Linked DNA regions of Schizosaccharomyces pombe. The protein of the gene in region 2 interacts with the protein of the main gene of each other region in a pairwise test. Each region holds a gene or a part of one and is shown on either strand. Other genes may lie near its edges. The genes, in order: alp4 and alp6.

Region 1 (5,745 bases), 2.0 Mb from region 2:
TATCCTTTCTCATCATTAGTCAGATAAAATAAAAATCTCTCAATTCAAATATTTCGATTTCAATACATTCGGCTTAAAATGTTTCATTCGGTTCGAAATGCTCTTTTATATTCCGTTCCTTGTTATCTTCCCCTTTATTTCATCTTAACTTACTTATCGTGTCCATTTGTAATCTGTAAAGTATATTTGCTAGTTTCTAATTATTTCTTTCTCCCTCTCTCTGTTTCTCTTGTTTCCTCTTACATGGTGGGGGATTGATAATTTTGGGCAATCCACTGTGAGATAAGTTTTCGTTTTTCTTACTCCTTGATGCGATAATTCTAAAGTCATATGATTCCTTTGCCTCACACCCAGCTATCGCCCCCATACTTAATCATACAATCTGTACTCACTTTTCATAGTAACTCTATCCTTTCGTAATAACCATCCTACACTAATCTAAATTGACGTTTTCCTTCGATATTACAATTTTTGTATGCGCTTTACTAGCTTACCTGTTCCTTTGTTTACGCATCCATTAAACTTTTAACTGCAAAATACAATTACTAGAAATTCATTACGAGTGCACACAAATGAATAGTTTTGCGTATACAATACTATAACCACCTAAATTAAACCTTGGTTTGGTTTTTATATACATACATCATCATCATTACTGTCGTAGCAACTGTACTTCTTCACATAACAAAGTTCATTACTATAGCTGTCTATGGTACAAACGTTAGCATACATTGTATCACTTCAAAATCAATCGATAGCTCTTTAGACTAGGAACAAATGCTTAGCCTCTCTCTTCGTTCTTCCTCAATCACGCGGCATACTGCCGACTTGCCTTAAATTTAGCGACATAGCTAATAAAAAATTAGCGATCAAAAATCCAAGTTACCATTCCTCAGGCATTATCAGCAAACCCTGTTTCAGACATTTTAAAAAATCGATTATTTTTTATATAACACAAGTGTTGGCATATTAAACGCTCGCCATGCCTTTCTCCATAATCATTCTTAAATTCATGGCCAATGGCAGTCGTCTTTTTGTCAATTTTTAACCGAATAGTGCAGTACGCTTTTAGTGTGACAACTGGCCAAAAAAAAGTCCAAACTACTGAAAATGGACCAATGTATACTGCGGATAAGCAATGCTTGTTTATGAAGATAATTGGCCATTCCGCAAGATCCTCACTCCAAGTCATTTCTTTATTAACGAGTACAAGCAACAAGATGTCAAAGATAAGGTTATCCAAAAACCGACTATATAAATATCCATAAAAGTTTTTCTCCCAATTTCCATTGCTGTTTGTCAGATGTTTCTTCATATCTCAATAAAACAATAGTAACGTTGTTCCATTTGTAGTTTTTCTACCTTGCCTTGTTTTATCTTGTCTCTTCTTAGTTATCCCGTCAATTTCATTACTAAACTTAAAAGAGCCGCCGTCTCAGTACTTGCAAAGTAGTTACAAGCATTCACTAAGGATTTTAAATGACGACTAAAACTGTCTTCGTACCGGCGTAAAATTTCTTCCATCTTATCCATTCTTCCTTCATCAAAGCTTTCTTCGGAATTCTCAAGCAAATATAAGGATCGGGTAAACGTGGAAGTATAAGAGGCAAACATAGCACAAGTATTAAGTAATTTAGATTGTACTTTAAGTAATCGCGAGTTAGTAAGCATGCATTCTTTTAGACACGTATCCAAAAAATCGATATGCTCCTGCATTAAATTATCCACAGTTCGGGCGTTCTCAAGTTCTCCCATAAATTTCCCCCAATGTGTTTCAATCACCTCACTTGTAGTATAGTAGATTATTTTTTGAACAAAACTAAGCATTCGTGTCCTTAATAACCAGCTGTTCCTTTTCCATTGTTCGATTTTCGCATTGGAGGAATTGAGACGCCAAGCACTATTCTTGCTGTGCTGCACCCAACTATTCTCAAGTTGCATTTCAACGTGACGAAGTAAAAGAAAATATCTGAACAAAAGTTGATATCGAATAATAGCTTTGCGGGATAAAATAAGTGAAAGGGGAAATGGAACTTTATAGCATAGTTGCATCGTTTCAAATCCATTAATATCTTTATCGCTACCAACTTTTGAAGTCCCCTGTGTGCTCCGATTGTGTTCACTCTCAAAATTTCGAGTTTCATTGCCCACATCCGCTTGCTTCGTGATTGATTCATTCCAAACTTCGTTTCCCTGAGATGATGTTCCTTCTTCCAAACCACTGATACTTACAATATGCATGAGCCAGTCTATTAATGATGTTTGATTCACTTCTACAGTCACGTATTCTTTATGTGGATCAGTCGCAGTTATCGTACCAGGCTGACGAAGGGCTAAATCTAATTGCGACTGCAACTTCGTGATAGATATATACTTTGCAGGTTTTCGTAGCTCGTGTTGAGCATTGTCAAGAAATGTTGTAAAAAAGTCAGATTGATCAAGGAAAAAATAATGTTTGAGCGAGTACAGATGAGCGTAAAGAGACTGTGAAGACTGGAGTAATTGCAAGAGAGATTCATTTGCATAAACATAGGCATTCATGATATTTAAAGTAAAGTTATCATCATCGAAGGTTGAAGGCCAGAGCAACTGGTTTTGAGTATCGTCTTTTGCATTTAACGAAGCCAGGTTATTAACTCCCTTCCTACACTCTAAAACGACGTTCAAATACTTGCCTGCAAAGAGTACCTTGTTTTGTAAATCAAGCAATTGTGGAGGAACTTGATCCTCTCGAATCACGTATCGTTTTTCCCAATATTCATCTGTGTAGTCTTCATCAAGTTGCATAGATGTGATTCCTTTGTGTATTTTTATCATAAATTCATCATATGGGTCATTTACGAGCCCGAGATGGATCCACTCATTCAACATTTTTGTATAAGGGCGTGAAGCTTCGCGCAATAAATAGGTTAGGATTTTTCGTGCCACAGGATCACCCGCATATTTCGTAAGACTTTCGGTCAAAAAAGAAATGACTTGCCCACCTTTACAAACCTTTTTCTTAGACCTAGTGGCATTAACAACATGTGAAATGTCATTTCCTTCATTAAGTTGCTCTAAAAGATCGTCGATGTTACTAAGACCTAAATCATCGCTGCTGGAAGCATTCTTTTCCATAGACAAAAGCAGGTCACGTAGAATTAAATACACTTGTCGTAATGAACGCGATGTGGGAAGAGTATAAAGGCGAAGAGTTTGAAGAGAAAAATTTGGATCAATTCGGCTCTGATTTTCACACTGCATGATAAGTACCACGTAGTCCATCACAAACTTTCGCAAAGCAGCGCACAATGCGTGGTTAACAAATCCGTATTCAAAATGGCTTCTCGATTCTATAAAAGCTGTGATACTTAAATAATGAGACCCCATCTCTAACATCTCAGAAGCAATATCCTTTATACCTAAATCAAATCCAGGAAGAATATAAAACGATGGCGGCATAATAATGGTTTCAAACTCAGAGGATGCTTTCATGTCTTGGAGATGTACAAATACACCCTCCATGCCCATAAATGCATTTAAGAGTTCGTTTATGAGACATGCTTCCTGCTGATGGATATTTAAGTTCGAAGGATCGCTAAAAGTCTTCCCATCGTAAAGATAATTTAATTGAATCCTATCAGAAAATGGAGAAACACCTTCACTCTTCAAAGAGACATGATAAACGCTCCCTTCCTCGAGAGCTGGAATTGGACTCCCATTCTCGCTTTCTTCTTTAGCAAGCACCGAACTAATCGATCTCACCATTTAAAGAGTCTTTTTTTATATAATCTACAAAAGTGTGAACATTTATTTAATATTTAGTGCTCTTTGTAATTATTATTCGGATATGCTTGTTTACCAGCAGGCCAGTTTTAAGATGTAGGTTGGTAAGTATGCGCCAGCTAACAATCAACGCAATTTCAAAGCAAACCAACTCAGGTCCGTGTAGCATTAAAAAATGCAAAAAAGTATAAAAAAAATTAGTCAAAAAATACATAACTAGAAGACTGCAGCATTTTCTATTGTAAGACTACCGTAAACTCAAAGGACCCCAAATACTCATTCGAGTATATATGGATAGCAGTAGACAGTGACAAATTCTATATGCTAGAGTTTATTTTGAATGGATAAAAATTTTAGATCCTAAGCTTGAGGGATTTATTCCCTTCATCTTTTTTTTTTTTTTTTTTTTTTTTTTTTTGTTGTGTTTAAATTTTTTATTCTAATGCAGACTACTTCGCTTTATTTACTAGCCAGTAGGTAATATTTGCATAATAAAAGCAATAAATTTAGCTCGGTTTTATGTTAATTATACATTTACTTGTTATTTCTTTAACAAAATAAATTTTTTCAAAAATACATATAAGCATCAATGATTTATTTACAGATAAAATGCTTTTCTAGGGAAGCAAGGATTTTGTAGTCGCATGAAGCTGGTGGTGAAATCACAAACATTACATCTATCAAAGTGTATATTGGTTGTAAAATCTCGAGTTCATCTTTTAAAAAAATAAATACAAAAAAAAAATTTATTGGTAAATGCACATACATTAAATTACTACCTCAATGCTTTATGAACATGAAAAATCCATACACCTAATCACAGGCATTCATCTGCTATACACTTATTCCGACGACCTCTTTGTTACTATATAATATTATGATTAGGAATTTTTTAGCGATATATCAATAAAATGGTTTAGCGAGATATACAAGCACTTTTCACTTTTAGCTTAAGCTTCATTGTGGCTTTTGCTCGTTTTACATCATGTCAGGTTACAGGAGGTAACGACCTGCATTGATACCTTGAGCATGTAGGAAACTGAATATCCAACAAAGAAAGAGCATAATAGCTACAGTCTTGAGCCCACCCCTTTAATATCAAATTATAACGTGTAAAATGGTATGAATAACTTTTTTAATTAATCAAAAGCATTCTTTTGTATGAAAATACTAATTATGATTCATAGACTGGTGTTCATGAAGGGACTGTGTTGGTTACTGGCGGCGCTGGTTATATAGGTTCTCATACGGTACGTAGAGAGCTTGAAGATACAGAAGAGGATTAGTAATGTACATGTAAATGTTTTAAGCACGCATCTTTTGTGAATATAGCTTGCTGCTCTTTACTTTTATACAATTTCGTCCATATTCTATAAAGCTCTTTTTTGAGATATTTTGCTAACCACAATCTGCAATAGTGCGTTGTTTTGTTAGAAAAAGGATATGATGTTGTAATTGTCGATAATTTATGCAATTCTCGCGTTGAAGCCGTGCACCGCATTGAAAAACTCACTGGGAAAAAAGTCATATTCCACCAGGTGGATTTGCTTGATGAGCCAGCTTTGGACAAGGTCTTCGCAAATCAAAACATATCTGCTGTCATTCATTTTGCTGGTCTCAAAGCAGTTGGTGAATCTGTACAGGTTCCTTTGAGTTATTACAAAAATAACATTTCCGGTACCATTAATTTAATAGAGTGCATGAAGAAGTATAATGTACGTGACTTCGTCTTTTCTTCATCTGCTACCGTGTATGGCGATCCTACTAGACCTGGTGGTACCATTCCTATTCCAGAGTCATGCCCTCGTGAAGGTACAAGCCCATATGGTCGCACAAAGCTTTTCATTGAAAATATCATTGAGGATGAGACCAAGGTGAACAAATCGCTTAATGCAGCTTTATTACGCTATTTTAATCCCGGAGGTGCTCATCCCTCTGGTGAACTCGGTGAAGATCCTCTTGGCATCCCTAATAACTTGC
Region 2 (5,691 bases):
GGATAAAAGCTTGGGATCCTTGTGTGTTTGGAAAATCTCGATTACAGCCCTCAAAGAGTATGCGTTTTAACCCCAGATTTACTAATATCACTTCTGATAGTGATAGACCTGATAAACGGATTATGATGCTGACTGGACTGGCAGGTGCAGGTAAAACGACTTTGGCTCATGTTATTGCTCATCAGGCTGGATACAAAGTTTTGGAAATAAATGCTAGTGATGATCGTACTGCTCATACGGTTCATGAAAAGGTATCCTCTGCCATTAGCAATCATTCAGCCTTGTCATCTCAACCTACATGTGTTATAGTTGATGAAATTGACGGAGGTGATCCTGCATTCGTACGAGCACTTTTGAGTTTATTAGAGAGTGACGAAAAAGCGACTGAGTATTCTCAAGCTGGTAATTCAAAGAAAAAGAAAAAGTTTAAGAAACTTTGTCGTCCCATTATTTGCATTTGTAATGACTTATATACTCCAGCACTTCGACCTCTGCGACCATATGCTCAAATAATATATTTTCGACCACCTCCTCAAGCATCTCTTGTCGGTCGTTTAAGGACTATTTGCCGAAATGAAAATATAGCTGTTGACAGCCGCTCTTTGACTTTGCTGACAGATATCTATAATTCTGACATTCGAAGCTGTATCAACAGTTTACAACTTTTGTCTTTAAATAACAAACGTATAGATTCTGAGACCATAAAGCTTTTGCAACCAAAAAGTAATTCTTTTAGTACTTCTAGTTTAATCCAATCTCTTTTTTTACAACTTGATAATAAACAAATACGTGCAATTGAAGCATCGCAACCTACTTACTCACATTTGGACGCCCTCCTTGCAAGGATTGATGGAGCTAATGATTCTGAATCAGTCTTGATGAATTGTTTTCATACATACTTAGATCTTCCTTTTACTGATAGCTTACTTTCTAAACCTGCTTTGACAAGCGAGTGGCTTTACTTTTTCGACCAACTTCATTCACAATGTTATAAGGGAAATTATGAGTTATGGAGGTACATACCTTATTCCATTATTCATTTTCATTATTTGTATGCAACTCCTGAAAAGTGCCGCCTTCCGCATCCTCCCAGAAGTGATTTGGAAGCTTTAAAACTTTATCGTACTCGCAAAGAAATATTGGATTCATTCATATCGACGCTAAATGCTTATGAAAATCAAATGCATGGAGAAAGATCAATTCTTTTGGAACTTATCCGTACAATTTTAATTACCATAAATCCTACACTAAAACAGGTAAGGTCTATATATTTTAAAAAAAAAAAAAAAAAAAATTGCGTGAAACAATATTTTTTTAATTTACTAACTTTTTATAGAAAGAAGATTCTATGCCAAGGAGCGCTTTACCTTCTAAAATTGAGCATGCGATTAACATTTTAAATCATTATAATTTGCGTTTCCAACAGCTTCCCGTTGGAGATGGCAACTATGTGTATAGGCTTGAGCCGTAAGTTCCAATATTTTTATTTCTTTCTAGTAATAGCTAACGTTGACAGACCTTTGGATGAATTGGTTTGGGACGCACCTACAAGTTCATATTCTGTTCGTCAAATGCTATCTCAGGAACTGCTCAAGAAAAGGCTCGCAGACATTAAAAAACAAACCCTAACGGACAACCCCACTTCTTCGAATTCTTCAAGAAAGCGCAAAGATTTTAATTCCGGAAAAGCAATTAAGAGAGATTTTTTTGGCCGTATCATTTCTGAACCAAAATCTGAAGCAGTTACATCGAATAATGCAGCTTTGAATACAGGAGATCATCCAGTTTCCATCAAGCATGCAATCAATATCAAATTTCACGATGGGTTTTCCAATGCTGTGAGAAAACCAATATCGTTGAACGAGATTCTGAATTTCTAATCTAATGTGCATTAATATTTTTAATTTCAATCTTTTTGAAATAAAATCAATCATTTAATTTAAAAAAAAATCACTAGTAAAAATAGGTGTATGCGTAAATTCATCTAACCATTATTTCCTGACCGCGACTTCGGCGTGTACTTTGTCAATGGCTTTAAGATTTTGAGTTAACGATCAATACTTGTATTTCTCTATTTTAATTCAAAAATAAAAAAAATACTTTCGTCATTTGAAGTTCTCAAATGTCGGAGATTCATGTGAAAACTGCATTATCACGTCTGGCGGACAAGTATTTACAGAACTCCAAAAACCCTTCTGTCCCTTACACAATTGAAACGATCGTGTCTTTCTTTCAGGAAATAATTCACTCGTAAGCTAATTTCGTGTAAATGATCATGCTAACTGTTAGCATTTCTCCTGATACTTTTCAACTGGACATTGATGACATTCTGTACAAAATATATTCAAAAAGTATGTGAAGGTCTAAATACCAAAATTAACAGTTTTTTAGTTCCCCCCGAAGAAAACAATGATGCTTTATTTTCTAAATTATCTAACTTAGTTTCGCGTTTGAAAAGTCAAACGGTCATTCACAACAAATCTCAAATACTCTATTTCTTATACTTGCTCTCTCCTATTTCTCAGTCATCAAGAGATGTCTCCTCTCATTTATTAGATGAGTCTATTTCCAATCCTATCAATATTCCATCAACAGAAGTGGAATCCTCAAACTTTGGTCAGACACGTTACGATCAAGTTCCTGAAAACCCCCAAATTACTGATTGGGATGAAGGATTGGAAAATGAAAGTTCTATCTCAATTGCTCATGATTCATCTAGGCTAAACCGTAGTACTGAAACTTCTTCTGTTCAACATACTTTGATTACAGAAGCCGATTTGTTGTCTTCAATATCTTACGTACTTCAAGGAATTTCTACCGAATATGTTCAGTTTAAAAATGAATTAGCGCTGTTGTCTAAGAGAATACCTGTCCAATACCTTTTACAGATGCGAGCTCTTTCAGAGACAGGCTTATTATATCAGGAACTAAAGGTTTTCAGCAATTATGATCCTTCGGTCAGTCAATCCATTGATGGTGATAACGTTAGTAAAGCATTTATAAACGATCAGTCTTTAGCTTTACAAAGTTTAAAATCGGTCATTTCTAAAGAGCTGACTAATTTCCTTGCGTTAATTGCATCTCTGGATTCACAAATTCGAGCAGACGCTTCACTTGAGAAGCCTATGGTAACTATCCGGCGTTGCATTGCCTGGACGCAAGTTGCCAAGCTAAAACTTAGAATTTTGTCTTCAGTTGTTAATGATAATATGAACCAGGAGAATAAAAAAAGATTGATTCAAGTGGTTTCGAAATACAATGTGCATGGAGATCCGCTAATACAAGAATTGAGTGATAAAATACTAACAGAAATTACTGGACCTTTATACGAAATGATTGAAAACTGGATTTATAAAGGAGAATTGGTCGACCCTTATCAAGAATTTTTTGTTAAAGAAAAAAATGGTAGTGAAAGCCATGATCATCAAGGGCAAGGTGATGTCGTCTGGAAAGGTAAATATTTTTTAGACAAAGAGTTAATACCAAGTTTCCTTTCTGAAGAACTTGTCGACAAAATCTTTTTGATTGGAAAGAGTTTAAACTTCGCACGTTATGGATGTGGTGATTTTGACTGGGCACAAGAGCATTACCAGAAGCTAGTGAAAAAACTTAGTTATAGAGACCCTCATTCATTAGAAACAGTGGTTGATAAGGCGTATACTGAGTCCATTAATCACTTAGTATACTTGATGGAAGAGGTGTTTCATTTGACTGATCATTTAAAGGCTATCAAAAAATACCTTTTACTAGGACAAGGTGATTTTGTGGACTTATTAATGGAGAGCCTTGGTAATTCTTTGGATCAGCCGGCTAATACTTTGTTCAGACACAATTTGACTGCTTCTTTAGAAAGCGCCATTCGTTCAAGTAATGCATCTTATGAACCTGAATACGTATTAAAAAGATTGGATGCTAGGCTTCTGGAGCTTTCACATGGTGAAACTGGTTGGGATGTTTTTACGTTGGAGTATAAAGTTGATTCACCTATCAACGTAATAATAACACCATATTGCTCTAGACAATACTTAAAAATATTTAACTTTTTATGGAGGTTGAAACGAATTGAGTTTGCCCTTGCCCATTCCTGGAGGCGAGTAAATTTGGGCGAGCGAAATGTCTTCAGAAATCTGGATTACACAAAATTCGAATGGCATTTTGTCAGTTGTCATCTTGCGGAAATGATTCATTTTGTTTGTCAACTTCAATATTATATACTCTTTGAGGTAACGAAAAACCAAAACCCAATTTTGCATTGTATACTAACCATTGGAAACAGGTTATCGAAATTAGTTGGCAAGAATTACAGCTTGCTATGGAGAAACCAAACGCTACATTGGATACGTATATAGAGGCACATGAAAAATATGTTACTAGTATAACTCATAAGGGCTTGTTGGGTGGTGGTAAGTCAAGGAATGAAGATTCCTTCCTTCATCAGCTTCATGATATACTTAAAGTTATCTTAAACTTTCATGATGCAATTGAGTTGTTGTATAACTTTTCTTGCTCCCTGTCGAATAGAATTCGCATTAATGTACCAATTTCGACTGATGCTTTGGCAGCTCAATACACCCCTATAAAAAATGAACTCTCAAATTTTACTGAGGAATTCCAGGTTCGACTTCAAAAATTATTACATGGATTAGCTTCCCATAAGGACCCAGAAATGCGCTTTCTTTCCGTTCGTCTCAATTATAACGAATTCTACGTTTCTCATAGACGGCGTCATGATAAGGATGTTACCAGTCAATAAATGAGGTTCATGCATGATTATTTAAACTTTTATTACTCGTAGTAAACTATAAATTTAGTTATTAATATTTAATGTGATTTAACTATCGTTCAGCGGTGCTGTTTAATTTGCCTTTGCCAACCACCAACACCACCCACCCATTTGGTTAACTTTTTTCAGCAACCACATATACGGATATCATGTCCGCGCCTGCTGGTAGACTTCAACCTCAGCGTTTTGCTGCTTTACCTAATCCCGTTACTGCTGAAAATAAATTTTGGCGGTCATTCAAGGTTCCTGTCGTTGCCAAGGAATATAGTGCTATCACTAGTATTCATTTTTCCGCTGAATCCCCTTATGACTTTGCAGTAACTAGTGGGGCTCGTGTACAAATTTATGGAGCTAGTTCAAGGTCTGTTAAAAAAACAATTGCTCGATTTAAGGATACCGCATATTCTGGTAACATTAGAAAGGATGGAAAACTTTTGCTTGCAGGAGATGCTACAGGACTTGTACAGGTAAGTCTACATTACCAAAAGCTTTGAAAGATAGTTGCAATTAAAACGTTGATAAGCTGCACATGGAATTTTGTTAGTTTAGTTTAGCTGATTGAAGCTGTCATTTGCTAGTATATAGCTAAAAAAATACCATTTTTCCGGTGTTTGTCAACGCTTTAAACTTACTTTAGAGGTTTTCTTGTTGCCATTGATTGCTAATGTACTTTCAGATATTTGATTTGTCAACTCGGAGTATTTTGCGTGCTTTAGACGCTCATCAGTTTCCAGTTCATGTTACACAATTTTGTCCTTATGCCAATACCACGTTTCTCTCTGGATCCGATGACAAAACTGTAAAGGTCTGGGACTTGTCAACTGGTGCCGTTCAGTATGATCTTTCTGGACATGAAGATTATGTTCGTACTGCTTCATGGATGAGTGCTACTAGACTTGTGAGTGGTG

What was found.
Region 1: the proteins of alp6 (region 2) and alp4 interact in a two-hybrid assay, tested with the Schizosaccharomyces pombe proteins (3 studies listed by BioGRID).

Annotation. Positions count from the first base shown.
Region 1 is NC_003423.3:2,522,063-2,527,807, reverse strand, and holds alp4 (gamma tubulin complex GCP2 subunit Alp4), read right to left. Parts: upstream 3,748-5,745; coding exon 1,393-3,747; 3' UTR 674-1,392; downstream 1-673. Other genes in the region: UDP-glucose 4-epimerase Uge1, read left to right, coding at 4,883-4,885, 4,953-5,015, 5,184-5,745. UniProt on the Schizosaccharomyces pombe protein: Component of the gamma tubule complex that is required for the regulation of both interphase microtubules and mitotic bipolar spindles.
Region 2 is NC_003423.3:480,138-485,828, reverse strand, and holds alp6 (gamma tubulin complex GCP3 subunit Alp6), read left to right. Parts: upstream 1-2,000; 5' UTR 2,001-2,122; coding exon 2,123-2,250; exon of another isoform or gene 2,251-2,289; coding exon 2,290-2,351; exon of another isoform or gene 2,352-2,391; coding exon 2,392-4,223; exon of another isoform or gene 4,224-4,276; coding exon 4,277-4,753; 3' UTR 4,754-4,881; downstream 4,882-5,691. Other genes in the region: Ctf18 RFC-like complex subunit Ctf18, read left to right, coding at 1-1,256, 1,337-1,467, 1,517-1,880; U3 snoRNP protein Utp15, read left to right, coding at 4,933-5,250, 5,460-5,691.